Linked DNA regions of Canis lupus familiaris. The protein of the gene in region 6 binds, or shares a complex with, the protein of the main gene of each other region. Links are inferred from orthologs where the notes say so. Each region holds a gene or a part of one and is shown on either strand. Other genes may lie near its edges.

The links.
Region 1: SNRPG (region 6) and SNRNP40 share a complex: the UniProt entries of both Homo sapiens proteins name them as parts of the U4/U6-U5 tri-snRNP complex. The link is inferred for Canis lupus familiaris from reciprocal best matches to the Homo sapiens genes SNRPG and SNRNP40.
Region 2: SNRPG (region 6) and GEMIN2 share a complex: the UniProt entries of both Homo sapiens proteins name them as parts of the SMN-Sm complex. The link is inferred for Canis lupus familiaris from reciprocal best matches to the Homo sapiens genes SNRPG and GEMIN2.
Region 3: SNRPG (region 6) and PRPF6 share a complex: the UniProt entries of both Homo sapiens proteins name them as parts of the U4/U6-U5 tri-snRNP complex. The link is inferred for Canis lupus familiaris from reciprocal best matches to the Homo sapiens genes SNRPG and PRPF6.
Region 4: SNRPG (region 6) and SF3B2 share a complex: the UniProt entries of both Homo sapiens proteins name them as parts of the minor spliceosome. The link is inferred for Canis lupus familiaris from reciprocal best matches to the Homo sapiens genes SNRPG and SF3B2.
Region 5: SNRPG (region 6) and PLRG1 share a complex: the UniProt entries of both Homo sapiens proteins name them as parts of the minor spliceosome. The link is inferred for Canis lupus familiaris from reciprocal best matches to the Homo sapiens genes SNRPG and PLRG1.
Region 7: SNRPG (region 6) and SCNM1 share a complex: the UniProt entries of both Homo sapiens proteins name them as parts of the minor spliceosome. The link is inferred for Canis lupus familiaris from reciprocal best matches to the Homo sapiens genes SNRPG and SCNM1.

The regions. Positions count from the first base shown.
Region 1 is NC_049223.1:69,116,397-69,120,380, forward strand, and holds the start of SNRNP40 (U5 small nuclear ribonucleoprotein 40 kDa protein), read left to right. Parts: upstream 1-1,184; 5' UTR 1,185-1,239; coding exon 1,240-1,383; intron 1,384-1,559; exon of another isoform or gene 1,560-1,698; intron 1,699-3,602; coding exon 3,603-3,732; intron 3,733-3,984. UniProt on the Homo sapiens protein: Required for pre-mRNA splicing as component of the activated spliceosome. Component of the U5 small nuclear ribonucleoprotein (snRNP) complex and the U4/U6-U5 tri-snRNP complex, building blocks of the spliceosome.
Region 2 is NC_049229.1:17,472,816-17,476,801, reverse strand, and holds the start of GEMIN2 (gem-associated protein 2), read right to left. Parts: upstream 2,801-3,986; 5' UTR 2,750-2,800; coding exon 2,613-2,749; intron 2,220-2,612; coding exon 2,135-2,219; intron 576-2,134; coding exon 486-575; intron 1-485. UniProt on the Homo sapiens protein: The SMN complex catalyzes the assembly of small nuclear ribonucleoproteins (snRNPs), the building blocks of the spliceosome, and thereby plays an important role in the splicing of cellular pre-mRNAs.
Region 3 is NC_049245.1:48,284,676-48,288,813, reverse strand, and holds the start of PRPF6 (pre-mRNA-processing factor 6), read right to left. Parts: upstream 2,801-4,138; 5' UTR 2,786-2,800; coding exon 2,775-2,785; exon of another isoform or gene 2,164-2,774; coding exon 2,095-2,163; exon of another isoform or gene 1,887-2,094; intron 1,079-1,886; coding exon of another isoform or gene 988-1,078; exon of another isoform or gene 920-987; intron 1-919. Other genes in the region: SAMD10 (sterile alpha motif domain-containing protein 10), read left to right, coding at 3,073-3,519, 3,595-3,766, 4,129-4,138. UniProt on the Homo sapiens protein: Involved in pre-mRNA splicing as component of the U4/U6-U5 tri-snRNP complex, one of the building blocks of the spliceosome.
Region 4 is NC_049239.1:51,712,201-51,716,203, reverse strand, and holds the start of SF3B2 (splicing factor 3B subunit 2), read left to right. Parts: upstream 1-1,203; 5' UTR 1,204-1,249; coding exon 1,250-1,382; intron 1,383-1,561; coding exon 1,562-1,608; intron 1,609-1,885; coding exon 1,886-1,963; intron 1,964-2,689; coding exon 2,690-2,938; intron 2,939-3,154; coding exon 3,155-3,205; intron 3,206-4,003. UniProt on the Homo sapiens protein: Component of the 17S U2 SnRNP complex of the spliceosome, a large ribonucleoprotein complex that removes introns from transcribed pre-mRNAs.
Region 5 is NC_049236.1:52,571,453-52,575,665, forward strand, and holds the start of PLRG1 (pleiotropic regulator 1), read right to left. Parts: upstream 2,801-4,213; 5' UTR 2,655-2,800; coding exon 2,646-2,654; intron 1,338-2,645; coding exon 1,231-1,337; intron 942-1,230; exon of another isoform or gene 870-941; intron 199-869; coding exon 56-198; intron 1-55. UniProt on the Homo sapiens protein: Involved in pre-mRNA splicing as component of the spliceosome. Component of the PRP19-CDC5L complex that forms an integral part of the spliceosome and is required for activating pre-mRNA splicing.
Region 6 is NC_049231.1:70,131,345-70,134,844, reverse strand, and holds part of SNRPG (small nuclear ribonucleoprotein G), read left to right. Parts: intron 1-547; coding exon 548-570; intron 571-1,425; coding exon 1,426-1,550; intron 1,551-3,500. UniProt on the Homo sapiens protein: Plays a role in pre-mRNA splicing as a core component of the spliceosomal U1, U2, U4 and U5 small nuclear ribonucleoproteins (snRNPs), the building blocks of the spliceosome.
Region 7 is NC_049238.1:60,887,477-60,891,750, reverse strand, and holds SCNM1 (sodium channel modifier 1), read right to left. Parts: upstream 2,801-4,274; 5' UTR 2,657-2,800; coding exon 2,606-2,656; intron 2,395-2,605; coding exon 2,324-2,394; intron 2,091-2,323; coding exon 2,002-2,090; intron 1,927-2,001; coding exon 1,829-1,926; intron 1,708-1,828; coding exon 1,619-1,707; intron 982-1,618; coding exon 787-981; coding exon of another isoform or gene 643-786; coding exon 543-642; 3' UTR 482-542; downstream 1-481. Other genes in the region: TMOD4 (tropomodulin-4), read left to right, coding at 641-804; LYSMD1 (lysM and putative peptidoglycan-binding domain-containing protein 1), read left to right, coding at 3,537-3,716. UniProt on the Homo sapiens protein: As a component of the minor spliceosome, involved in the splicing of U12-type introns in pre-mRNAs. Plays a role in the regulation of primary cilia length and Hedgehog signaling.

The DNA.
Region 1 (3,984 bases), on a different chromosome or scaffold from region 6:
GGCCTCTTTCTGCCGTTCAGTCATTTTCCTCCCATTTGCCGCAGGGCCCCTGCACATGTTGTTCTATATGGAACGCTCTGCCTTTCTCCCTTGACCCAAATAATTACAATTCTTCCTTCAGGTATCAGTTCGGGCATCTTTTCCTCACAGAGGCTTTTCTGCTTATTGCAGACACTCATAACATCAGGCACCTCTCCTAGGCAGCACGTATTTTAAAGCTCTTAGTGAGATCACTGTTTAACATGCTTGCCCTCAATATTCAAATATTTGAATTGTTTGTTTGTTTTTAATTTATTTATTCATGAGAGACGGGGGGGGGGGTGCAGAGACACAAGCAGAGGAAGAAGCAGGCTCCATGGAGGGGGCCCGACGTGGGACCATCTTTGGTTCACAATGTATCCTCTCAGGGCTCTTTCCAATAAACACCAGTTGGACAATTAAGGAGACCTAGTTCCCAGATATGATTCCGAATTTCTCCACAGGACTGTGCTCTGGAGAAGCAGCAGTCGGATACTCCTCTCATCCCTGTCTCTCCCAGAGGCACTGAGCAGGCCCTCGTAAAAGGCTGCATGACCAGTGGCAGAAACAAGCCGGCCTCCTCAGTCAGAGAGAGGAGCCTGGTGGAGCTGGGAGACAGGCCCTTCCTCCCTGGGGGCGTTCGGCACAGGCACAGGGCTGGACACGGCAGGCGCTGGACGAACGAGTCGGCGGACGAGGGCCCCGGGCGGCCGCAGAGACCCCAAAGCCCTGCTCCAGCCTAGAAGGGGAACCCAGGCTGCTACGCGCCGACGCTGGGACCCCGGGGCCCGCCTCAGGCCCCTGCAAACCTTCAGCTGAGAAGAGCCAGGCTCACGTCACACAACCGAGGCGCCGTCTCTAGATGCCGCAGCCACCCACCCTCGACCTTCCTTCCACTTACTCTGGGTCAGCTCCCGGTCTCCCGGCCGCAGCATTGCGCGAAACGCCAAAACCAGACAACGCTTCCACCCACAAGACCCAGCGCGCCTAGGTGGGACTCCAGCTCCACCCACCAATCCCAGCACCGCACTCCCGTGACGCCAGAAAGAACTGACCAATAAAAGAAGAGTATTCAGGGAGGCGGTGCAGAGGGGATTGCTGCAGACCGATTGGTTACTCCAAGCCGGAAGTTCTGGGGGAAGAACTAAGTCGGAACCAATCGCGCGCTGCCTGAGGGTGTCGGCGCGGTCAGTGGCGGCGCTGAGGAGAGCGGTTGCCGCCATGATAGAACAGCAAAAGCGCAAAGGCCCGGAGTTGCCACTGGTCCCAGTCAAGCGGCAGCGGCATGAGCTGCTGTTGGGAGCGGCGGGGTCGGGCCCCGGAGCTGGGCAGCAGCAGACGGCGCCGGGAGCTTTGCTACAAGCGGTAAGTGGAGTCGCGGGCGGCCCTCGGGCCTCAGCTCATCTTCCCCTCAGGGAGCCCGCCCCCGGTGATCCCGCAGTGCGGGGTAGGAACGGGAATAGCTGCCTGCAGTTCACACAGGAAACACTGTAAAAGCGGTCGACACCCCCCCTGCCCCCCCGGGACGCTCCGCTCGTTACCTGGTTGGACGCCCGCTTTCAGCGTCTCGACCACCCTGGGAGGTGGCGTTACATTTAGCGTTAAGGACCTTGAAGTCAAAACCCGCACCGGGGCTTTTTCGTATTAAATCTTCCACAGGGACCCAGCGTGGAGTAAACATTCAGAAAACTTTGTAGAACGGCTGAAAAAAATGAATGAATGAATGAATGAATGAATGAGGAGAGAAAGGAAACGAATGAGCCCGGCTTGCTTTGGTCAAGATGCCCGCCCCCCCCCCCCCCCCCCCCATGTCTCAGCACTAGTACTGTTACTAACAACAACGGAACGAGAGCTGACCTTCATTTAATACCTGTCCTAAGGGCTTTGTGTATGAAAACCCCATTAATCTTGGTAACAGCTTAAGAGTTAGGAACTCTCAGTGCCCTGTTTTGTAAGCTCTTAACCCGGTAAGTGATAGGAAACGGTTTTAAAGCCGAATCCATGCTCTTAACTGCATTTCTTGTAAGATGGAGGTAATAACGATCACCCCTCTGCTGGGCTGGTAGGCTCCGATCAAGAAGTAAACGTCTCCACTCTCAACCTCTCCACCAGCCGGTGAGCAAATCCTGCTGGCACACCGTCCTCAAAATAGATGCCAAATTGCTAATCCTTGTGCCACCTCCATCACTCGCCCCTGGTCTAAGCCGTTATTTTTCTCATCTGGCATTATTGTAGTGAGGTCCTAACTGGTATTTCCTGTTTCTATTCTTTTATGGTCCATCTATTCTCAGTCCAGTGGCTAGAGAATCCTGCTAAAGGTCAGCTCGTGTTACCCTCTGCTGAAAACTTTTGATGGCTTTCCATTTCACCCAGGGTTAAATCCTTACAATCCTTAAAATCTTTTGCCCATTTTCCCTTTACCTCTCAGATCTACCAATTTTCCATTACTCCCCCTGCTCCAGTCACACTGGCTTCCATGCTCTTGCCTCAAAGCCTTTGCATTTGCTGCACTCAACTGGAATGCTCTTCAAAATATCCACGTGGTTTACACACTCAGATCCTCCAAATCTTTGTTCAGATATCACTTTTTCAGTAAGGGCCTTCCTGACTACCCTGTTTTAAATTGCAATACCCCATATGTATTAATCCACATCGCTTTTTTTCTTCCGTAGCACATACCAACCTGCTATATGTTTTGTTTTCTCTCTTCGTCTCTTCTCTTCCTCCTTTCCACGGGAACACAAACTCCATTGTTTATTTTGTTCAGTACTGTTTTCCCAACGCCTAAAACAGTGCCTGGCACGTTAATTTTTTTTTTTTTTTAAATAAATGAGTAAACTGAAAGCTATTAAGGATGTTTGGGGATTATCAATAGTGTACCAGGTCTTCTCTCTGACCGGAATGTCAGCCCAGGTTCCAGTGAATTGTCCAAGCCTAGGTTTAGTGTCAAGACCATAGTCAAAACTACTTTCCTGGGTAATATGTACCTTGCAGGGTTGTTGGGAAGCTCAGTTCAGGCATTAATTAAATGTGCTAGAGACTGGGAAAAGTGTTGAATGCAGGGTCCCTGCAGTCACAAAGCTGCTTTTCTACCGGGGAAGAGGACAAAATGTGTAAACCAATACAAAGGAAGGTGATTTCAGGTAGTCTTAAGTGCTGTGAGGAAATACAGTAGGATTAATGGAATACAGAGGGGAGGTGTGATGCTGCTTTGAGTTTGAGTGATCAATGAAAGACTTTCTGAAGAGGAAACATTTGGAAAGAGCTAAACACAGGACGATCAAGGGAAGAGGATTCCGATCAGGAGCAAGAAGTGTAAAGATCCTGAGACAGAAATGAGCTTAGCATATTTGAGCAATTTAAAGTTGGCTATGGGACAGAAGGAGCCTGAGGGAGTAGTCAGTATAACTGGTAGACACTGGACACTTGAGTAGGAGGGTATCAAATTGGAGGCCTAAGTTAATGTGAGAAGAGTTACCATTCTCTAAATCAGGAGAAATCTACTCAATGATTGTTTACCGTGTCTTTTGTAGTCTCCTTTGCCTGTATGTAGTAACTACCCTGTACTTCTGTCTTTTGTTTAGGGACCTCCAAGGTGTTCCTCCCTTCAAGCGCCAATCATGCTTCTCTCAGGACATGAAGGGGAAGTGTACTGCTGCAAGTTTCATCCCAATGGATCCACCTTAGCATCTGCAGGCTTTGATCGACTGATATGTAAGAGATAGTTTTTGAAGTTGGGATAATCACTCTCTGCTAAATAGTGATTATTTTTTAAAACCTTTAGTGCCACAGAGTGTATCAGTCTGGATTATTCGCATTACAAACTGCATAGCTAAAACAGTGTAAGGAGAATGTTGAATGATCTTGAATATAGACCTCAAGATCCATGTGGTAAATACAGAGGAGATTATGTTACTAGTTGAAAAGTGAGTTGCTCTTCTTTGAGAATATCTTCCTCATGGAGGC
Region 2 (3,986 bases), on a different chromosome or scaffold from region 6:
ACTCATATGCCTGCCTGCTTGCATGCACTTTCGCTCTCTCAAATAAATAAATCTAAAAAAAAGTATAATGAATCTTATTTTTCCAACTACAGTCTAAGAACAGAAATAATTCTTGAGGGAGAGAGGGGTTTAATTTTTATTTAAAATTCAATTAGTCAACATATATTACATCATTAGTTTCAGATGTAGAGTTCAGGAATTCATTAGCTGCATACAATACCCAGTGCTCATCACATCATAGGCCCTGTTTAAAGCCCACCACCCTATTACCTCATCCTCCCCCTCCCCTTCAGCAACCCTCCGTTTGTTTCCTATAGTTAAGAATCTCTCATGGCTTGTTTCCCTTTCTGATTACTTCCCAATCAGTTTTCCCTCCCTTCCCCTATGATCCTCTGCACTGTTTCTTATATTCCATATGAGTAAAATTAGAACTGTCTTTCTAATGGAAGGGGTTTAATTTGATAAAATGATTAAAGTACGCTCACCTGTCGAACAGATGAAAACTGTGCCACTTGTTGTTGTTGCCACTGAAGTGTGGGAGAATATCCTTCAGGAGCAGGTTGGCATCCTGAAAGCTAGAGATCAGTTCATAAATATTAGAATCGATGTTAGTGTTATAACTAGAACGTCATTCCTCTGCAAAGTAAAAGCACAACCAAGATGAAGAGTAATAAAGTAAATGATTAAGGCTATCTAAGAAAGATACTGTACTCTGCAGATGCCAAAAAGTAGGCCTTTCACTTTACTATTTATGTCCAAGTTTGAACATTAGGAAAAGATCCTTGTGGGGTCACTTCAATAAGAGCAATCTGGAATGGTTCATATTTGGAGTTTCTAAACTAAGAAATCTAAATTATATGAGCCCTGAAGACATAATTTAGTCCTACCTTTCTATAAGAAGACAATTATTTGAAATGAGGAGACATAACCCACATAAAGAATTTGGTATTGGCAGAATGTACTCAAATAATCTAAGACATTTGACTTTACAAAGGCTACTTCAGCTTCCTAAGACAGCACAATAGGTCAAAATACTGCCTTGAAATACATATTGCCTTGAAATAATAGTGTGTTTTTTAAAAGCTAGGTAGATAAGATATTCTCATCCATCAACTAAAAATTTCTGAAAATATGTGAAACATTATAGCATCTGAATTAAAATTTCATAAGAGGAAAAGGACCTATCACAATTTAAAAACTGCTGCTCTCCTTTGACCCTAGGTTAAATAATATGTCCTTAGAGAGACTTTCTGTGACAATTTTAATTGTCAACAGTACAATTGTAAACAAGTAACCTTGTTACTTATTGGTCATATACAGGTTAATTTTCTTCATATCAAGTCAATATAGATGTGCCTAGGTGGCTCAGTGGTTGAGTGTCTGCCTTTCATTCAGGTCTTGATCCTGGGGTCCTGGGATCGAGTCCTACATCTGGCTCCCTGTAAGGAGCCAGCTTCTCCCTCTGCCTGCGTCTCTACCTCTCTTCTCTGTGTCTCTCATGAATAAATGAATAAAATCTCAAAAAAAAAAAAGTCATAATATATAATTACTTTGTTTGCTTGTTTACTCTGTATTCCTCAGGAGAATGTAAACTCTGCCAGGGTAGGGATTTTTGTGCCTCATTTTCTATTGTAATCCCAGGGCCTGGCACAACCTAGTCACTTCACAAAAAATATTCAAGGTGTGTGTGCAAGTAACTAGAAAAATGTAAGACACCTGAGTTTCTATTCTTAAAAAAACAAAGCCCAAATTCAGAACATGCAATATTGCACTAAATAGCATTAAACACCAATCCAAGAATAATTATGAACAAGACTGGAAAAAGGTTCCTTAAAAATAAAGAATAACGTAAGTAACCTATTTAGAGTCCTTTAGAATTGGATCACAGCCCTGAAGTATGAGGAGTCTCCACGAATGCCAGGGTTACTGGAAACTGCTCTGGGGGCAGTAAATGCCAACTGTCCTTTTGAGGGTTAAAAGTCCAAGCTAATGTTCAATGTCTCAGGAAGTAGTCCAATCTTACATAAATCATAAAGATACTACAGGATACCACAGGAAGGCCACTGAGCTTTCCATTTGGTCGAGGGGAGAGGGGGAGGAAGGGGAGAATCCCCTGCTGGGTCATAAAACTCACAGAAACATTCACACTTTGCTTCCTTTTCAACTTCTTTGGGTCAATCTGAGCTACCACAACATCTGGACATTGAGCTGCTTCGATCCTACAAATAAGTAATAAATGCAAGAAATGTGATTACGGCTGTGCTTTGTTCCTGTGCAGTAAAACGAGCGATCCATTCTACAGTTCTTCACGAAATCAGAAAAAAAAAAAAAAAAAAAGGAAGCGCAATGCACGTACTACACAAGGTTATTTCCGAAACTAACTGGAAAGCAAGGAAATCCAAAAGCACACATCTTGACACAGGTAAACAGAATTACATTCATAAAAACTCGCCCAGGTAAAGATGTCATCAAGTGATCTTGATTCGACCCTACCTCGCGTGAAAGAGGGAACGGCCACTGAGGCGGGGCTTTATCACACGTAGGTAGGGGTCGAGCTGTGCCCGGGGGCAGAGCGGACGACCAGCCCACCCGCACGGGGCCAAATCACTCACTGGACCCGCCTCAGGTATTCCTGAGGCGTCCTCGGTGGGACGGAGGGATCAAAACTCTCTGTCAAGTCGCACGGTTCCACTGGCAACAGCCTGGGCATCAACTCTTCCACTGCGGATTCTGCTGGCATCCACGCCATGGTTTTTAATCCCGCCAGTCCCCCTTTGGCGCATGCGCCAAGTGCAGGTCACGGCGCAGGCGCAGACCTTAAGTGCGGAGTCTAAGGGGGCGGAGCTTAGGCAGTGTAATTGCGCTTGAGGAAGCCGGCCGGTTGTCCCAGACTTAAGGCTCGGGTGGTGTAAGGAGACGGTGAAGTTTAGTTCCTTGCAGAAGTGGTCCTGAAGTGTTTCTGCGTGTTTCCCTCTGTTCTCTCTCCTAAGGCCAGGGTAAACACTGAGGATTATTAAGCTTTATGCATCTGCAGTAGTAAGGGATCCTTGGATATCTTTTGAATTAATGAACAGTGTTATTGTAATTACCATTTATTGAGCTCTCTCTCTCTATATTTTTAATTGTCTACAAGAAATCCACTTCATTTAGTTGAGCTCTTAAACCCCTGGTAGACATATCACGTATGTTTCCTCGTTTAGTTTTTACACCAACTCTTTGAAGTAAGTGGTATTATCCTGGTTCTGTAGGGGAGCAAATCGATATAAAGAAGGGTTAAGTACTACAACTGTGACTTTCACTCCCACAGTGAGACAGAGGGTAGAAGAGCCATTTCCAACCCAGATTTATCTGATGCCAAATGAATGAAATATTAATTTTCCAGAGAAATTTCTTGCGCTTGGCTACTTGAAAGATCCCTTTGTATTTGCTGGAAATGAATATTAGTCGTTGAGTAGACATCGCTTTCTTCTTCTTCTTCTTCTTCTTCTTCTTCTTCTTCTTCTTCTTCTTCTTCTTCTTCTTCTTCCTCTTCTTCCTCTTCTTCCTCCTCCTCCTCCTTTTTCTTGAGAGATCTCTTTGTTTAAATGAGTAGTGAAAGGATAAAGCTAATGCCAATACCCAAAAGTTACCATGATTAATCTTAGGGCCAATCTTGTGAGGTAGGTACTATTATCTCCATTTTACAGGTGAGGAAACATGTCAGAAATGGATTAAGTAACTTGTGCTGGGCGACATTCCAAGGAACAATGAAGGTTATATCTGATTCTTTCTAAAGAAGCTCTGAGTAAATATAATTGACTTTTATTTCCTAAGATTATGTTTATTTTTAAAGCTTTTTTTTTTTTTAAAGCACTGCCTTTAGCTTGCAAGTAATTGATTTCAAAACCAGAATGTAACTTTCTCATTTGAAGATAAAGTGAGGACAGTTCCTGGGTTAAGACCTAAAGGAATTTGTGCTTATGAACTGTAAGTAAACAATTGGGAGA
Region 3 (4,138 bases), on a different chromosome or scaffold from region 6:
CTCGGGGGTGAATTCCATGCAAATCTCTCCTTGGGCGTGGTGCTGGGCTTGGGTACCAGTCATCACCTGGGCCCATGTTTTAGGTGGACATGCACGACGACTCTATCTCCGAGTGCGCCTTTGCTCGTGGTGCCGTGGGCGTCCTCTGGCACCCGCATACGCCTGGGGAGAGCGCCCAGACCCCTGGCGGTGCAGGCTCAACTTGGTGGGTAGCAAGTCTGGCCTTCTGACCCCGGCGGCCCCCAGCCCACCCTAGCACTTCCCAGGGAGGCCTGGAACAGACGCATCCCTCTTCCCTGCAGCGGCCTCCTTGGAGCGGCTCTGTCCTCCCCATGCCCCGCGAAACCGCCTTCAGCGGCACCCCCTGAGCCCCGGGCCAGATCCTGGGGCTGCGTAGGGAAGGGGACAGGTGCTGCCCGGCTGTCTTCCTGGAGTCCCCTGCGGTGGGTTAAGGGAGGCTCCTAGGGGAGCAAGTGCCCCTTGAGGGAGAGATCTCTGGAGAAGGCGAGGATAAAGGAGTGAGAAATGGAGGGGTCGGTCTGGCCCTCCACCTGGGCCTCGGTGGACCGACCATCCCAGGACCAGGGAGGATGTCCGCCTCCGGCCCGCGCCCTCCCGCCGGGACCTTGGCTTCCTCCTTTCCCCGCCTCAGAGGCCCCCGGGGGGTGGGCCCCCCGGGAGGTGCAGGCGCTCGTCCTGGAAGCCACCGCCAGGTTGCAAGGTCGCCCGGACCCCCGCAGGCTCCCTTTGCAGAGCAGAGCTGCGCGCCGCCGCTAGACCGCGGAGCTCCCGAGCGCGCCCGGCCCCGGGCTCGGGCTCGGGAGCAGGTGCCTCGCCGCGCAGACTCGCCCGGCGGGCGCGGGGACCGGCTCGGGCGCGGGGCGGGCGGGGCGGGCGGGGCGGGCAGGCGGCGCGCGTTCCCCGCCGGCCACACGGCCGCCTGGCGCCCGGCGAGGGGCGTGTGCGCGGCCCGGATCCCTGGGCCCCATGTTCACGGAGCTGAGGACCAAGCTGAGCCCCCCGCGAGGCCGCGCCGGGGCTGTGCGCGCCGGCTTCGGGGAGCGCCGGGATGTGGACGGTGAGCAGGGCTGACCACGGCGCGGGCGGGCGGCGGCTTGAGCCGAGGGGGGCCGCATCCTGGCCGATCGGGGTCCCTGGTGCCTTTGTCCTGATGGGGGGTGGCCTCGGGCCGGGGCATCAGCGCACCCTTGGCTTGGAGGAGGTTACGGCTGGGGCTCCTGCCCCCCGCTGGCCCACCCCGCGGTCACCTTTCCCTTTGCGCGCCCTTCCCTCCCCTGCTCCGCCGTGGGGCCGACAGGAGCCGAGGCCACAGCTGGGCTTGGACGCCCCCGGCCCCGTTTCATGGTGGAATTCTGACGTTGGGGCTAAGAGGGAGGGACGGAACGACGGGCGGACAGACAGAAAGACGCAGATCGTTCCCCTAGCCTGGGCAGCAAATGGGCGGGGCCCGCTGGACCCCGACAGGTGCAGCGCCGCGGCGACGCCCACCTCGGCCAGAGCTTCACGCTCCTGCCCCTGCCCCTGTTCCTGCCCCTGCCTCTGCCCTTGTTCCTGCTCCTGCCCCTGCTCCTCCCCTCCCCCTGCTCCTGCCTCTGCTCCTGCCCCTGCCTCTGCTCCTGCCCCCGCCCCTGCCTCTGCTCCTGCCTCTGCCTCTGCTCCTGCCCCTGCCCCTGTTCCTGCCCCTGCTCCTGCTCCTGCCCCTGTTCCTGCCCCTGCCTCCTTCCCCTGTTCCTGCCCCTGTTCCTGCTCCTGCCCCCTGTCCCTGCTCCTGCCCCCTGCCTCCTGCTCCTGCCCCCTGCCCCCTGCCCCTGCCCCTGCTCCTGCCTCTGCTCCTGCCCCTGAACCTGCCGCTGCCCCTGCTCCTGCCCCTGCCCCTGCCTCTGCCTCTGCCCCTGACCCGGCCAGCCCACTCCGCCAGGCCCTGCAAGGCGAGGCCGAGTGGCTCTGGAACCTGTGCCCTGAAAGATGCCAGCTTAGAATAAGTCTTTTTCCGTGATATCAGAAACCTCATCCAGGCAGGGACCGCACCAGGCACACCCTCTATTTGATCCTGGACCTCAAATTTAGAGTCACCTGGGGTCATCCAATTCCGAAAAGTTGCAAGTATGAAGACGGCGTGCTGAATCGGAGGAATCTGAAGGGCTAGAAGGGGGAAGTGATGGGTTTTCCCCATGGCTGAGAACTCCTGGGCACACAGCCAACCCCTCCCTGCCCTCAGCTGGGGGCACTGGGTTGTGTCCATGGAAGGCAGGGTCTCTCATTCTAGGGCTGAGAGCCAGGGAGGCGAGGGCCCTGGCCGAGAACCTGCTTCTGCCTGCCGAGTTGGGGCCTAGGTGCTGTAAAGATGAAGGCGAGCCTGGGCCCAGCTTCCTGTCTCTCCCCAGGGCTCTACTGGCTGTGGACACCACACAGAGCCTTTCTCCATCCACCCAGCCAGCCAGCCACAGTGTTCCTGGGCACCTGCTGTGTGCCCAGACCTGTGCAAGGGTCAGGAGGCCATTGTTAGGGTGTCTGCCCTCCCGTGACCTATGTGAGCAACGAGCCCAGGAAGGACAGCGAAACTAAAACTTGAGGAGTGTAATGAAGTCTGTGGAAAGAAAGCGCCAGGTGTCCCCGTGGCTCCCCGAGCTCATGGCTGGCCCCTGCACACCTGTGCTGAGCAGCCCATGTCCGCTGGATGCCCACCCACGGGAGCTGTCCTGGGCCAAGGGCCCTGCGACAGGTGGCAGAGCAGGGTTCCCGGGGTGGCTTGCCTGCAGTTCATTCAGGCTTCCCGCCGAGGGGTTGGCAGGTGAGCACCGCACGGCAGGAGCCACGTCTCAAACGCCAGGTATGGCTGCAGAGTTGGGGTGCCGTCAGTGGCGATGGCAGGCAGCATTCTCGGGGACGCCGTGACGCAGGGCCTCCCAGGACAGAGGGGCCGCAGCGTGCCCTGGTCTGGCTCAGCGTGCGTCAGCCTAGAGCGAGGGTGAGACGAGGCCTGTCTCAGGGTAGCTCCTCACCAGACTGTGAACCTTAGGCTCCCCGGTGGGCACACTGTCTCTCGAACCTATGCGGAACCCCTCGTGCTCCCCAGAGCACGGCCAGTGCGCCCAGAAGAGGAAGGATGCTCCCAGGCCATCAGCTTTGGGCTGGGCGGGCTACGCAGGACCGTTCTTGCGCACTTCCTTCCTGTCCCTGGGGGCTTGGGGCCCCCCGATTGGGAAAAGGGGCCTCGTGTTCAAGGGAAGATGGGTTGAGCAGGGAGTTGGTTTGCAGAGAGACGATCCTCTGGCCCCGGCCCTGACCGCCCTGACCAGGCGCCCATGCCCCGCAGCCACTGCACACTTCAGCTTCTGCCGAACCCTCCTGGAGCACACGGTGTCCGCTGAGAGCATCCCCTGCCACCTGCCTCGGACGCCAGGCACCAGCCTCACATGGCACGACTCCCGTAGCCAGAGGGCCGCTGGTGGCCGGCCGGTCAAGCTCCTGCAGCAGCCTGGCACAGAGGCCCCCCAGGTACCCACCCGCCGTCCCCCCTCAGCCCCTGCCCTCCCACCACCTCACCGCACCCGGCACCCGTCTCCCCCGCAGGGCCGGATGTACTCTGACCACTATGGCCTGTACCACACGAGTCCCTCCCTGGGCGGCCTGACGCGGCCTGTGGTCCTGTGGAGTCAGCAGGACGTGTGCAAGTGGCTCAAGAAGCACTGTCCCCACAACTACCTCGTCTACGTGGAGGCCTTCTCCCAGCACGCCATCACAGGTGCCCTTGGGGGCTGTGGCATGGGGGGGCATAAGGATCCCCTGGAGAGCCCCCCCAGCCTGCCTTTGTCTCTCTTGCCGTCATTTGTCTCTCCTCGGTTTCCTCTTGGGCCAACCTCTCCTGCCAGGGCTCTCTCTCCGCAGTCTCCCCGGCGTGTTGCTCCGTTCTCATGGCTTTTCTCTGCCCTCCCCTCTGCCTCTCACTCTCTTTCCCTCTCTAAATCCTGCTGTCTCCGCCTCTCCTTCTGTGTCCTTGAGTGTCTCTGTGTCCCCTTCCCGTTTCCCTCTCTCTGCCTCGGCTCTTAATGCCCCTTGGAGGTTGACCTTGGCTCAACCCCTCTCTGCTCAACCCCTGGCTCCCAGGCCGGGCGCT
Region 4 (4,003 bases), on a different chromosome or scaffold from region 6:
GGTGTCAGGAAAATGAGACCACTTTACTTGAATTTCCCAGCTCTCACTCAACACACACACACACACACACACACACACACACACAGAGGCAATGAGCCTGCCAGTGAGAGGACAGGGCTAGAATGGGAAGAGGATCTCAGAGCTAGTGGCAGAGATGGGAAGAGAAACTGAATTGATGGGTCAGGATAGAGAGAGATGGAAGCTACACAAGCAGGGAACATCTGCTCATCCCTCCCTCAGGTGCACAGGCGGTTGCTGGTGCTGCTGGTGCTGTTGGGGCAAGGAAGGCAGCGTCGACTCTGCCAGTAGGCTGGTGGGGATAAGGGGAGAAAAAGTCCTGAGCTCATTTTTGGGACTAAAAAAGATGCATCCTGTCGCCCGAAAGATCGTTTCGTTTGTTTTCCCCATTAATCATTACTGAGCGCCTCTTGAACGCCAGGTGCTGCCGGACAGTAAAAAGACCAGGTCCCCTGTGCACGTTCTTGGGGAGGTGGGGCAAAGGGGCAAGAAAGAGTTTAAAACAAATGGTAGATGTTTGTACGTGTTACGGGAACTCCAAGGAAGGAAAGGAAAGCGGGAGAAAGGCTAGCGGAGACATCTGAGCCGGCCTGATAGGTGGAAAAAGGGGCTTTAGTGTGGCCCTTCCCCCCAGGTCGGCAGCTGGAGCTCAGCCCGCTCCCCTCCTGGCTCCGATCCTCTTTCAGCCCATTCATCCATGCGTGGGCCGGGGGTGGGCGGGCAGACAATCAGATACTGTTTTATCACAGGCATCGGCTGCAACCTCCCGCTTGGCGCCCACAACGCGCGGCCGCTGGCAGAATGAGTCCTTCAGGCCTCCCTGAGGAACGAAAGCGTCCGGGCCTCTCACGCCTGAGCTGAAAGTCTGGTCGGAAGGCTGGAGATCTGCGCTCCGGCGAGGCAGACGCAGAAAGGACGCCTTTCTGGCGGGACCATCTTGCCCCGCAGCCCCGCCCCTGCTCCAGCCTCCAGTGTTGCCGGTGCTTCAGCCCGGCACTGTGCTCCGGGAGCCGGACCCGCAGAGAACGGGACCTGCGTACTACAACTCCCAGAAGGCTTCGCGGCCTGGCATCCTGGGGACGCTTGGAGATCCGCAGGGTCTGGGCCGCAATGTGAACCGCCTGCCAATCCTCCAGCGGACGTGGCGTACGGCGCTGCCGGAAGTTCCGGCAAGTGGGCCCCAGGTCCGGTCCGGACTTCCGCGTTGGTCGCGCGCCTTCCTGCGGCTAAGATGGCGGCCGAGCATCCCGAGCCTCCCAAAGGAGAGTTGCAGCTGCCGCCGCCGCCACCTCCCGGTCACTATGGCGCTTGGGCTGCCCAGGAGCTTCAGGCCAAATTGGCGGAGATTGGAGCTCCGATCCAGGGTGAGGAGCTCGGGAGGTCAAGGGCCGGGGCAGCGTAGGCCCAGGGAGAAGCGGAGCCTGGTTACCCCGGAGACCCGGGGGGCGGAGGGAGGGGCGGAGGCGGACCGCTGGGGCCTGGCTTGGTCCCGCAGGCCTGCTCGGCCTGACTTACCCCGTTGATCTTGTGCTTTGCCCATCAGGGAGTCGCGAGGAGCTGGTGGAGCGGCTGCAGACCTACACGCGCCAGGTAAGTGTTGGCGGGACGTCAGGATAGGCCGAGTTTCTGAAGGCCTCAATGAGCCCTCAGGACTCGGTCTTAGCTTTTTATGTACCTTGCTGTTTCTGCTTGTTTTTTTACATTACCTGACCAGTTGTAAACATTTCTGTATATATAGGTCTTCTGCAGTGCCTAGCGCAAGCTCTGGCAAATGGGCAGTTGGTAAATTTTGTTGAATGAATGGGAGCAATGACGTTTTGTGGAACAGCTCCTCTTGGACTGACCTGGAGTCCTTTCTCTTTTGCAGACAGGCATCGTGCTGAATCGCCCAGTTCTGAGAGGTGAAGATGGGGACAAAGCTGCTCCCCCTCCCATGTCCGCACAGGTAAGGAGGTGGTTCTACTTTATAAGATGACTTCTGTTCAGGGCAGCTCCTCTCACAGTCAGTGTTTTGGGGATGCCACTAACAGATTGGACAGGGAGAAATGGGAGCTCTTCAGTTCCCCTTTAGTCCTGATCCTTACCTCCTTACCCAGTGTCTGCTTCTCCAAATACTACCTGTCATTTAAGGTTTAGCTTAAGTAATTTAGAAGCCTGACTTGATTCTCCTTCAGCTGGAAATAGCTCTTTTTTGCCTTACCAGGCACAGTTCTCATTTTGTTCAGTGAGACATTATGGCTCACTCTCTTATTTTATTTCATACCTTTTATATTTAGTGAGCCATTGGGACACACTGGCTCCAGTTTATTTAAGTCTTCTTAACTTCCATTTCCTTTCTGAGCCAGGATTTGAATTTTTCTCTAGGACAAGACTCTGATCTGGGATCTATTGACTTCTGTGGGTGGGAGGAGGAGTTCCCAGGTGGCCATTAGAGGTGTCCTTGGATTTCCTGAAATTGTATGCACAATCTGTGTTCATGGTTTTCTGGGGAGAGAGTCAATAGCTTTCCTTGGTTGGTACCCCAAAGTTAGTATTCTCTTCTATCGGTATTATATTTTTTTGAATGCAGGAATTGTCACTTGACTTTGAATTTTAGTACCTGGCTCATAGTACCTGCAAATGTCTGCAGTAGATAAACGGTTCCTAGTGTATGTTGACTTTTTTTCCACAGCTTTCTGGGATTCCCATGCCACCACCACCCATGGGACTCCCCCCTCTGCAACCACCTCCACCACCCCCACCACCTCCACCAGGCCTTGGCCTTGGCTTTCCTATGGCAGTTGGTCCCCGCCCACCAAACTTGGGGCCACCTCCTCCTCTCCGCGTGGGTGAGCCTGTGGCTCTGTCAGAGGAGGAGCGGCTGAAGCTGGCGCAGCAACAGGCAGCATTGCTGATGCAGCAAGAGGAGCGTGCCAAACAGGTAGGGGAGGTGGCAGGTTGGGCATAGGTCTCATCAGGGTCCTAAAGAGGATTGAAGCCTTAGAGAAAGCTGGATCCTGGGGCCAAGCCTTCTGGGAAGTCTGGACCAACGACTGGAACATAGACCCCAGGCTGAAAGAGGACCCCCAGAAGCAGTGTTGTGGCAGCCTGGCCTGAGGGGTAGTGGTGCTGATGTGAGTTTGTTTTCTTTTTTAAGCAGGGAGATCATTCACTGAAGGAACATGAGCTTTTGGAGCAGCAGAAGCGGGTAATTCCCTCCATTGGCTGTCACTTCTAGTACTAGTGTCCAAAACAAGATGCTCCATTCAAGTTTTCCATGGAGGTTACCTCATCCTTAAGTTCCAGTATCTCCCAGATAATCCCATCTTTTCTGGAGCCCAGATTGGTAAACTACAGACTGTGACCTGATTTTGTATGGCCTGCAAGTTAAGAATGGTGTTTCTAACTTTGGAGGATTGTTAGGAAAAAAAAAATTGGCAAACCAAGAACATACTGCAACCCTTGCAATGGCCCATAAAGTCTAAGATATCTGTTGTTTAGCCCATTACTGAAAAAGTCTGATAATTCGTATTAGTCTTATATGATTTTAGATACCTATGAGAGGACTCTGGATTAGTCAATTGTGTGGGATTTAGACTAAATGTGATAGAGGTAGTTAGAGAATAATACATGAGACATGCAGTCCCAGAGGTGCACTCTATCAGTTGTTCCCTGCTGCATTACTGGAGATATTGAAAGTAAGCATTAACAGGAATAGATATGAAATTATGAAGTGCTGATTTTGCCTAGAATGTGTTAGATCTTTTTTTTTTTTAATTTTTTTTTTTTTAATTTAGTTATGATAGTCACACACAGAGAGAGAGGCAGAGACACAGGCAGAGGGAGAAGCAGGCTCCATGCACTGGGAGCCCGACATGGGATTCGATCCTGGGTCTCCAGGATCGCGCCCTGGGCCAAAGGCAGGTGCCAAACCGCTGCGCCACCCAGGGATCCCTAGAATGTGTTAGATCTTAAGGAGCAGATAAAAGAATTCATTGTTCCTTAG
Region 5 (4,213 bases), on a different chromosome or scaffold from region 6:
TTTCATTTTGAAAATTCACATGTAAGTCCTGACATTTCTGATAATACATCCTCACCTTGATTGGCAGGATACTGCTTATGACCATACGAATCCGATGCATTCTGAGGACATTTCTCTTTAAAATTTTCTTTCGAAGTAGGCATGTGCAACACAGGACCATACTCATTACGCAGCTTGATTGCCATTTTCCGTTTGTGACTATTTAAAAATTATGAACATAAGAATGTATCTTTGAGTGCTTTAAATATATTAGCCAAAAGAAATATAGACAGCCAAGAACACAAGTACTTAAATAGCTTAGGTTTGCCTAATCATGTAGAAAAAATTCTATGAAGTTTTTAAAGTTAAATAGTATTTTAAAAAGCTTGGAATTTCCAAGTGCATTTCCACACTTTTTTTGTTCCCAATCCACCACAGAGCATCCATTAAGTCTAAGTAGCATTTTAATTTGTTAACCAATAAATATATAACCTTTCATGATAAATTACCAAGGGTCTGATTTAAAAACATATAGAAACTAATATATCCTTTTAAAAACCTCAGTCAATACACTTTCCTTCAAATGTGTCAATATAAAAACACAGTAAAAGCTTCTATCATAACCTTTACTGGATGTATCTAAAAAGACCAATTAGAACTAATCAAAGTAGTTAATTAGTTCAATATTTTTTAAAGAAATGCACTTATATTAGTCTTAAGAACAGCTCACTTAATAAATTAAATATAAATGCTTGTCTTAGGAATTAAGTAGATTTTAAAAGAAGGGTAAAGGACAAAGAAGGAACACTGCACATAATGCAATCCCAGACTGGAGCTGGAGATGTAGAACCAAAAATATGCCACCACTCAAAAATCTTCATCATACTAACGAGAAAAGATGGGAGTAGAGGTACTGGCCAGGTACAATTTCAGCTCAGCAAGGCTCTGAGAGCAGCGGGAAGCTGAAAGCACATACAAAGTGATTGATTATAAAATAAAACACCTAAAAGGGACTCTCCTAATTACTGGGTATTTATAAATGCAATTAATTAATGGGACTTTTTATTGTGAAAGACAAGGCCAAAAAAAGTTAAATCAGCTTAAATCATGCCCAAACACCATTCATTACCGAATAGACATCCTACGAGTGTTAGTATCACTCACTAAGCTTTAAAGGTCCCCCTCTCCCTGCTCTCTTCCCCCAACATTAGAAGTTACATATTCCAGTAACTGAAAAGGAACAATACCTACCTCTCTTCATCCAAAGGCACAGGTTTTCCGTTATCAGCTACAAACATGTCATGGGTTCTCTTCAATGACCTGAACACAAGTGTGTGCACAGAATGTTTCTGTACCTCCTAAAAAGAAAGAACAGAATCACATATCTAGCTACAAATGACACATACCACAACCTAAATTAAGTCAAAGCAGCCATACACTTTACACATTTAAATATGTAAAAAGCTTTGTACCACTCACCACAGCTATTTGTAGCAAGCGATAGAAGAAGTCAAGGTCAGAGAGGAGGAGGAAGCTCCTCAATGGCCAGAGCCCCAGGTATACCAATTAGTGATGCCTGAGCTTAGCCATTGATTCGAACAAGTATTTACTGAGTTCCTACTATGTGTCTGGCAGGCACTGTGCTAGAAGCTAACAAAAGAATGATGACAAGGCAGCCATGGTCCCAGTGCTCAAGAGAAAACGAAAAATAAGCAACAAATCTTTGATAAGTGCTATGAAGGAAGCAAGCCAAGAAAGAACCTAGGATAGTTATGAAAGATCTCTCTGAGGTATTCCTTAGGCAGAAATTCAGCCTCGTGCAGAGCAGAGGTGAGAACAATCCAGGCAGAGAGGAAATGCCAGGTACACAGGGGTTTGGTGGCTGCAATGATGGCCGGAGCTGCAAGAGAACTGTGCATGTTCCACTGGAAGGTGGACTGTGAGGCTGGGATGAGGTTGCAAGGGTAGACAAGGTGCAGATTAGGTTAAGGATTCTTTTTTTTTAAAGGATCACTGCAACAGTCTGCACTTTTGCTCTAGTGACATCTGGCCAGCGAAGGATTTTAAGCAGAAAAAAACGCGATCAACGTATATCTTAAACAGATCAATTTTGCAGAGGGCGAAGAAATGGAAGCGAGAACACCAGCAGGGAGCTAAGGCACTCGTGCAGACGAAGGATGACGCCGGATCTGAATTAAGGCGAAGGCAGTGGGTCTGGACAAGGCTCCAGAAGTATTTCTGAGATGAGACGGGCAAGGCTGGCTAACAGTTTGATGCAAAACTTCAAAATGGCAGGTCTTCCTGGGGGCAGAGCTGGAGGAAGACCGCCCGCCTCAGGACACACAGCCCCTGACGCTGCTCTGCAGGCGGGGACCCCGCGGGGCCGGACGCGGCGCCTCCGGGGGCCCGGCCGAGACCCGACGCTCAAGAGCCAAATACGGACCGTGGAAACTCAGTCGGGCTTCGCGGCCGCGGGTAACGTCCAGCCAGGGCTCCCACCCGGCCTTCCTCTGCCCCTGAAAACCTTCAGAGACCACCCGGCCTCGGCCAGACAGCCCCCCTCCGCAGCCTTCACCATCCCCAAACCGCGAACACCCCCCCACGCCCGCCGCCAAGGAAAAACACCGCGGAAGCCAACGACCCCTCAGCACCAAGCGCCACCTTACCTCGACCATGATGCTGCCGTGCGACTCGCCGCTCCAACAGACAAGGGACACCAGCCCGCAACACAGAAGCCGCCGCCGCCGCCGCCGCCGCGCAGCCCTTCCGGAATCGAGCGCCCTGGCGCCGGAAGTGGGGCCTCCGCGCAGGCGCGGTAGCCGCCCGGCGGCCTTCTGGGATCGAGGGGCGGGGCTTTCTCCAGAGGGGCGTGGCCTCGGCGAGGTGGGCGGGGCTCAGCGGCGTCCCGGAGGAGGTCTTGGAAGAGCCTTCGGCTCGGACTTAAGTAGTTCGGTTCAGGGGTGTGGTTGTTTGCGCTGTGCCTCCCCAAGCTTAATCCTTTAATTTTATTTTTTTTCCCAGCGAACCCAAGGAGTCCGTTCTAGGGAGGGTCTGGAGAGAGCGAATCCCGGTCCGCGTCCAGCTCCCCTGATTGACGTCTCGGCTCCCGCTGCGCCGCGGGGCTGCCCGGCCTGGAAGCCTCCGCGCGCTGCGGCCTCGGCTGCCGAGAGCACCTGCGCTGATGCTGTCCCGTTAACCCTTGGCGGCCGGATGTTGCGGAACACTTTGCATTTGAGAAAGTGTGCAAAGATCTTTGTTGTAGCCCTGTACGGCAAATCCCCACATTTATTTTTACGCTGCATAGATTTTTTTTTTTTTAAATCTCTCAAAACCGCACGATTTTCAGCCAGTCTGCTAATGAACGTGGTGGCGTCGACAGTATCAAAGGGCAGCTTTTCAAAGCTGGCGGAAGAAAGACACAACTGAAGACTCGAGCCACTTTTATTTATACACATCCTAGTGCCAAAATAGCAGTATTTTATATTGTCTTGTCTTAGGTAAAATGCAGTTTTCGATCAAGCCTGTCCCATTACTTTTCTATGCAAACAGGAGTTGAACATTTGTAAATCCGATAGGCAAATATTTCACTGGCCCTGCTTGTTCCTTAAGCTAATCAATTCCACTGATCTCAGCATACCGCATGGGCTTGGAGAGGGAAGAAGTCTTATTGAGGGACACCTGGGGGGCTCAGTGGGGGAGCATCTGCTTCGGCCCAGGACCCAGGATGTGACCCTGGGGTCCCTGATCATCGGGCTCCCTGCAGGGATGGAGCCTGCTTCTCCCTCTGCCTGTTTCTCTGCCTCTCTCTCTGTGTCTCTCATGAATAAATAAATAAAATCCTATCAAAAGTATATCAATGTGAATTGCTAATCTCATTGGATGTACATTGATTCTTAATTAATCAAAAACATTAAGGTCATGTTTCTACTTGAAAATACAATCGTGTTTGAATTTGAGTGAGTTTGGCCTACTGAGTTTCTGCAGCAGTAGCCACTGGTGGTGGGCCTCATAAAGAAATTCTATAATGGTGCAATATGTACTTGGGAACCTACATCATATTTTAACTTCCTCATAGATAGTGATAACTATACAAAAGAATACTATTTTTAAAGGTGATGAAATTATAGAAATGTAAACAAGATTCTAATATATCTATGGCAATATAATAACTGTCTAGTTGGGGCCTGTTAACATGTTAATCATCCAGGAAAGAATTGTATAAACCCAGACTCAT
Region 6 (3,500 bases):
TTTAAGGCTTCAAAATCTGTATTTATTTTGCTATAAAATATTTATGTGTTGAGGAATATCTTGAACACCTAAGTATGATGCTTAATATTAAAACAACACTCCTTATTGTCTCAAATATAAAATAAAATAGCTATTGAATTGGATATGGTTTGATTATCTTCTAATTTCCTTACAACTTTGGTTTTGGTACTAACCAAAATATATAAACAAATCTTTGTTTTTAAGAAAATAATAAAATCAGAAATTAGGTCAGTCTTGAACAAGAATGTTTTTGTAATTCACATCATAAAGACTTAGTTTGGTGTACATTAATGTACTCTAAATCTATTCCATTTTTATTATCTTGCCCCTTTCTAAATTACATTGTACAAGAGCTAAATGAGGTACCGTATTCTCTCCTCTCACCATCGTACAAATTTTTTATTAAGTTTCATTATTTTTATTGTGCAATTTTAGCAAATCGTATTGATTGTACCTACTATTATGCTTACTTAGACTTAATTTTTTTAAATCAGTCATGTAATTTGTACCCCTTTTGCTTTTTCAGATTTATGGACAAGAAATTATCATGTAAGTTTCTCTGGTTTTTTGTTTTTTAATTAGTTGCTTTCTACATGTGTCTTGGCAGTATATAACGTTTGGAGCACCTTCATAAGAATTTAAATCATACAGAACCTCTAATTCACATCCATTAATCAGGTTTATCAAAAACTATATGCAATTTTATTTACCTAATTTCTGATATGTAACAGATTGCACACATACTGTAGACTTTTCATTATTTTCTATAAGCCTTCCCTCACGTAGACAAAATTAATGGGATTTTCCTATTTTGTGATATTCGAAAGTATATCACCCTTTTTTATCTTTTAAAGCACAGGACTTTGACCAAGGCTAAAAATCTGACCTGTACAGTACCTGAAATATATAGGGGTTAAGACCCAGGCTTCAGAGTAAGCATCCTTCCCTTTAAATCCAGCCCTAGCCCACAGTACCTGTATAACCTTGAACCAGTTTCTTAAGAAGCTCTATACTTCAGTTCCCTTGTGAAAAGTTAGAATAATTCTATTTGACAGGATTTTTGTAAGTTTATTTTAGTTTTTACCCCCTTTTTTTTTTCTGATTTTAATTCCAAAATAGTTAACATACAGTGTTGTATTAGTTTCAGGTTTACAATATAGCGATTCAGCAGGTCCATACAACAGCTGGTGCTCATCACAACACTGCACTCTTTATTCCCCATCCCCCCCACTTGGGTTTTTATGTTTAAATATGGAAGTAAATGTGAAATGTTTAGTCCACTGCTTGGCATATAGTAAGGATAGAAGCTTATATATCTCAAGTACCTGAGTTTTATTCCACCTGATTCTCAATAGTTGATACTTAATGCTCAGTTTTATTAAACTACTTTTTCCCTTTTTATAGTGAAATTAAATGGTGGCAGACATGTCCAAGGAATATTGCGAGGGTTCGATCCATTCATGAATCTTGTGATAGATGAATGTGTGGAGATGGCAACTAGCGGGCAACAGAACAATATTGGAATGGTGGTAAGTAAGGGTGGAAGGTTTCTCTTAGAGATTTCATATTTTGAAATAAGGATTAACTTCCCTTCTATTAAATTCTTGTCTTAAATTGAAATTAGATTGGGCAGCCCAGATGGCTCAGCAGTTTAGCGCCGCCTTCGGCCCAGGGGCATGATCCTGGAGACCCGGGATCAAGTCCCACGTCAGGCTCCCTGCATGGAGCCTGCTTCTCCCCGCTCCTGTATCTCTGCCTCTCTCTCTCTCTCTGTCTCTCATGAATAAATAAATAAAATCTTAAAAAAAAAAATGGGCAGATAAGCAGATAGATTTTCCATCTCCCTTTTACTTTAAAATATGGCAGCCGTTCAACTCTGGTAGCATCCCAGTTACCAGTAGGTTAGATCTGAATCCTATGCAGAATCCTCTGAAATAGCTGTACAAAGTATTTTTGAGCTTTATAATAGAGGTCCATAGTCAGTCCTTCATTATGCTCAATTTTAACATGCTTAGGAGTTCCCAGAAGATCTTACTAAAATGCAGATCCCATCTAACTATGTGGGATGCAAATCTGCTAGTCCACCTTTATACCTTTCGATTTTAGGTGTGTGTATAATTAACCCAGATTTTCTGGGTTTTCTGCAAATTTAAAAGTGGCCAAAGTAAAAAAATAAATAAATAAATAAAAATAAAAAAATAAAAGTGGCCAAAGTAAAAGTTTCAAGGGATGATCGCAGGGGTAGCCATTGATGTGAAAGAAAAAAGCAAATGCTGGGTTAATTATAGGAGCAAACATTTCTATATTCATTAGACCACGGTGGTATGACTACTGAGAAAGGTTTTGATGTTTATCAACAAGACGCAGGCTTTGAATCCCATTCTGACCACCAGAGGACAATATGCCCAGTAAGTTAGTAAATCCCAAGTTTCTTGGGAAACATAAATCAAAAAGGACAACTTGGCATTAGCAAATCACTGAGCATAAAGACCTCTAAAAGATGGTAAGAGTTCCTAATTCTTAGCCTTGATTTTTTTTTTTTACCTCACAATTTTTAATTACTCTTTCCAAAGTGTATGTTATTGCTTCTTTCAAACGCATTTTCATCTGAAAAGCAAATCAGTGATCTGGGCTGCAAAATCCAGTGATTCCAGTGATCTTGGAATCAATCCCTAGATATGAGATTCCCCTCCCCCAAGTTTTATGCAAATTGACCTTCCTTTCTCCTTGAGTTCCTTCTCCTTTCTCCTTGAGAAAATGAAAAAACTATAGGTAAATCAGTATCAGCCAGTTTGTTCTAAAGATGGTTTCTAAATACCCACCCCCAGTATTTCTCTCTAGCCTTTCCTATTACAAATTCAGTAATTTTCATTGTAAGAGAGGGTAGACTGGATTTTTAGTTTATATATCAACAGACTTTGCTAAAGATTGAAGAAGGACTTTGATAACCAAAAGTCAGTTCTAATTTGAGAAGATAACTTCAGAGAATTACGTGACACTTTTTGGAATTTTGTCTGAGAAGCAACTGATCCTAAATCATGGGTTTTTCTTGAAATTTCCCCCCTAAATTTTATTGGGCTTGTTCTTTACACAGAAATTGGTTATGGGCACCTTCTTACTACGTTAGGCGGTTGGCTCTTCCACCTCTGATGCTTGTTGTGTGACCAAAAAAATTTTGTGTTAGTAGGCAGTAGTCCTTGCAGCTGAGTTAACACTTTGAAAATGAAATAATGGGGGGCTGCCTAGGTGGCTCAGTCAGTTAAGCATTTGGCTCAGGTCATGATCTCAGGGTCAAGAGATCAAGCCCCACCTCAGCTGCCCAGCTGAGCAAGAACTCTTACTTCCGTCCCTCTGCCTGTCCACCTGCGCACTTGAGCTCACGCTCTCGCACACGCTCTCTCTCTCTCTCTAATAAATATTTAAAGAAAATGAAACTGGTAACGTATCAATTATCCTGAATAAAAAGACTTTTTGAGAGA
Region 7 (4,274 bases), on a different chromosome or scaffold from region 6:
CAGATACGGGTAGGGCCCCTGGTGTCTAACTACAACTTCATGTGATCTGAAGGAGGAAAGAACTTTGAGTGAAGGTGGGGAAGAAGGCAGACAACAAAAAAAAAAAAAAAAAAAAAAAAGAAGGCAGACAACATGAAGGGCAAAGACCTCCTTCTGACAGACTTATTAATAGGGCATTGGGCTGCATGCAGCTGACGCTTGGCAGTACTTTGGTTGAAGGTGGGGGAGGGGTCAGAAGTATGGGGAGCTGTGTACATTTCAGGGAAGAATGGGCCTGGCTGTCCTGAAATGGGGGACACCTGAAATGGGTGGCTTGGTTGGTTAATCAGAGTTTGACTCTTGATCTCAGCTCAGGTCTTGATCTCAGGGTCATGAGTTCAAGCTCTACATTGGGCTCCACATTGGGTGTGTAGCCTACTTAAAAAAAAAAAAAAAAATCCACCAGTGAAATCCTGAAATGGGGCAAGGAAGTAGACTTGAAGAAAGTTAGACTCCTGGAGCCTGCTGAAATTTATTTGTGAACTGAGGGGGAAAAGAGGGTATCAGTCTAAGGAAAGGTCAGGAGGTTCCTCTTCATCAGAGTCAAACTCAACATTCTCATCTTTTACCCATCGACCTTGTCCATCTGGGATCCATCCAGAGCTGCAAATAACAGAAAATAGAATAAATCAGGAAAAGAGGTTTAAGAAGTTAATGGGGATAAGAGAAAAACAATTGAGAAGGATTGAAATAAGAAAACTCAGAAAGAAAAGAGAAAACTTGAAGAAAGTGATTCTGCATACAAACCTTCGAAGGGTGAGGTAATGATCCAGGGCTCGTTTCCTCGTGGGGCTCATGGGCACAGGGGATGAGACAGTTGCTGACTCCTTGGCCTGTGGGCCAGCTCCAGGCATGGGTTCCTTAGTGATCTTCCCACTCTCAGGCTCAACCTCTGGGGGTGGTAAAGGGGGATGGGAGACAGAGGGACGAGGGGTTTCTGGTCTAGGTAGAGAAGAATCAACGTCTATAAAAGTAGTAAAGGAAAAAGGCCAATTCTCCTATGACTCCCAATCCCTTACAGAAGTGTTTCCTAAACTGTGTTCCTCAAGATATTAGTAAATGTCTTGCATAAAAAAAAGAATTTTGGAATCATATGAATTTTTAAAAGGCTAGTATAACATTTTGAGGGTTTTTTTTTTTTAATCTTTAGACTTTGTAGAGCCCTTCGAATATATTAATATTACTACTCTTCAAGTAGGATCACAAAGTGCCATTTCCTGGGGCACCTGGGTGACTCAGTGGTTGAGTGTCTGCCTTCGGCTCAGGTCATGATCCCGGGGTCCTGGGATTGAATCCTGCATTGGGCTCTCCACAGGGAGCCTGCTTCTCCCTCTGCCTATGTCTCTGCCTCTCTCTGTCTCTCATGAATAAATCAGTAAAATCTTTAGAACAAAAACCAAAGTGCCGTTTCCTAAACTTAAAAAAAAAAAAAAAAAGCAACATTCTCTTTTTTTTCTGAAATATCAGTAAACATCTCTGGAGTATTAATATTCCTGAGAATACAATTTGTAATACCTTTATCTTAGAGCCATCTATCTCCTCTGACCCGCCCTACCTCTGGCTTTCCCACCCCACAGACCTGTGCTTCCTGCGGCAGCAACTGTTATAGTGAGGAGCTCTGTGCAGAGCACTCTGGGTGGTAAGTCGGGTCTGCGTTAACAGAGGAGCCTGGTGTGGAGATGGGAAACACAGTCAGTGTCTTCAGAGCTAGAAAGAAGTCGAAGCCCTTCAAGCCTAAGATGTGCAGCAGGCCCACCCAAAACACACCCTCCCCTCCCTGATTACCTACCTCAGCCTTGATCTCTGACTGCCTCAATTCATTCTGCTGTCTTGGATTCTGCTCCATTCCCTTTACTGGCTGCTTCTTGCCATAGAAAAGCTGCAGGCCTGAAGGTAGAGGGGAAGAGAATTAAAAACAAAACCGCAAGAGTGATCTGCAGAGATTTGTCTTCCCTCACTTACTGGACAGATGTTTCTTGCCTGCACGGTGGGCAGTCAGCATGGCCAGGGTGTCCAGTACAGGTCGGTGGGGACAGATAGCACAAGCGAAGCTGGAGAGGAGGGTAGAAGATATTCGGTGCCAGGTGAGTGGGGTCTGGTTCCACCTGGACCTAGCAACCCTTTCCAAAACCAAACTCTAGGGTCTCCCAATTTCCACCACCCACATCCCTGTCCCTCATCCCCCATCAGAAAATCCTAGATACTCCCGCTCCCCCCTTGATAACAAAATTATACGAAGCCTATAACCGCAGCACCCTCGGGCTTGATCACCCCTCGCCCTCACCGTCCATCCCGTAGCATGAGCGCTTCATCCTCTGGGATATAACTGGCCAGCAGGTCCCCGACTCTCCGTTTCTGCAGGGGGTAGCCGGACGGGACCAGTGGGAGAGGAGGGAGGGGTCAAAGATTGAAAGGCAAAAAGGACCATGAGAACAGAGATCACTGGGCGAAGAAGGGGTCACTACCCAGCTCTGGTCGCGCCGGCCCCGCAGCTGTTGCCAGAGCAACAAAACAGCTCCTTCACGGGGCAGTGAAACTGTTCCCGATGCTCCCCTCTCGCGCTTACTTTGAGCACATTGAGTTGACTCGAATCATCCCCTTCCCTCTTGAAAGACATTACGACTGAGCTCCAGAAGCGAACAATTCTCCCGAGCCGCCTCGGCCACTCCTCTCAGGCCACCGTAGCGAGAGTAAGGCGTCTTCTCCCGTCGGGTTTCTTTCCGGTTGGCCTCCTTACTTCCCTAGATGCACAGCGCTCGCGGAAAGCCCGCCCACAGCCTGCGGAGCCGACCGCACTGCCCACGCGACCCGGCGACCCCGCAGGCGCGGGGCGTTTTGGGAAATGAAGTCTTTTTTTCAAAGGGCTTGCCACCCAGCTGGCTCCCGGCCCTTGCATCTTGGCTGATTCGAGGCGTCTGGGGAGACAAGAACTTAAATGTGGAGACCGACGTTGAGGCCGTGACGGATTTGCTGAGGAGCGGGCCTTGGAAGATCTCTGAGTGGAACGTGTAGTACAAACTCTCGCGGTCCTCACGCGCCTCCCTGGCCGCCGACAGCCCACCAGGAGGGGGCTGGATTTATTCCTGACACAAGCCGACCAACCCGGGACGAGGCGGGGCCGGGGTGTGAAGGGAACCTGGGAGGCGGAGGCTGCCTGACCTGGGGGAGAGGGGCGAGCTGAGCGGAGTGTGGAGGGTAACTACGGTTCAAAGGTCAGAGTTCATAGTGGTGGGAGGGTTGAAAGTCAGCGGGGTGCTAATAAGGAGAGACTCTGGTAGGGACTGGATCCTCGGGATACAGATTCGTGGGAAGGCGCCTGGGAAGCGGGACAAACGAGAGCCGCGGGGGCGCGAAGTGCCGGGGCAGACGGGGGTTTGTGAGAGGAGACGGGGGAAAGGAACCCCCTGGATAGACGTCCCTCGCCCCCAGCCCCGTGGCTGTCGGCACTTAGCCAGGCCTCCCTCACTTGCAACCCCAGCTGCCGGCGGGGTGAGGAGATGGCTTCGTCCTCTAGACAGGCCCCCCTCGGGGGGTCAGGACTGCTACAGGGGAGCCGGGCTCGTTCTTACGGAAGCCTGGTGCAGTCAGCCTGCTCCCCGGTGAGGGAAAGACGCCTGGAGCATCAGCTGGCCCCCGGAGACACCCTGGCTGGACTCGCACTGAAATACGGGGTGACGGTGAGTCTTCCATGGTAGGGATGCAGACAACCACTCAGAAGAGATTATTCCTCATTAGAATGTAATGACCCGGCTAGGCAACTTCCCCTGAAATTTCCTAATTGTGTTGTGGTCTGACCCACCTTTATCTTTTTGTTCTCCCATCTCAGTGTTGCCTTGTCTGGTTGGGACAGACCCTGTGCCACTATCCGGGTGGAGAGGAGCTGCTTCTATTTATGCCAGTCTCTATTCTAGAGGTTTTACATACATTGGCCCATTTGGTTCTCCCATCCCCGTCAAGCATACGTTTGTTTACAGATGAAGAAACAGACTTAGATTGGTTAACCAATTTGACCAAGGTCAAATAACCAATGAGCATTAGAGTGGGAATTCAAACAGATCTGACTCCAAAGCTCGTAATATTAACCACATGGAAACTTTTTAATTGCAAGTGATTAAACATTTACAGCAAACAGTGGAGAGTTGGTTTCTAAGGTTCTTTGTGAGACCAGTGCTCTAACCACTCTAGATCTAAGTTGTTGGGTTTTTTTTTTTTTTCCCCAAAGATTTATGTATTTA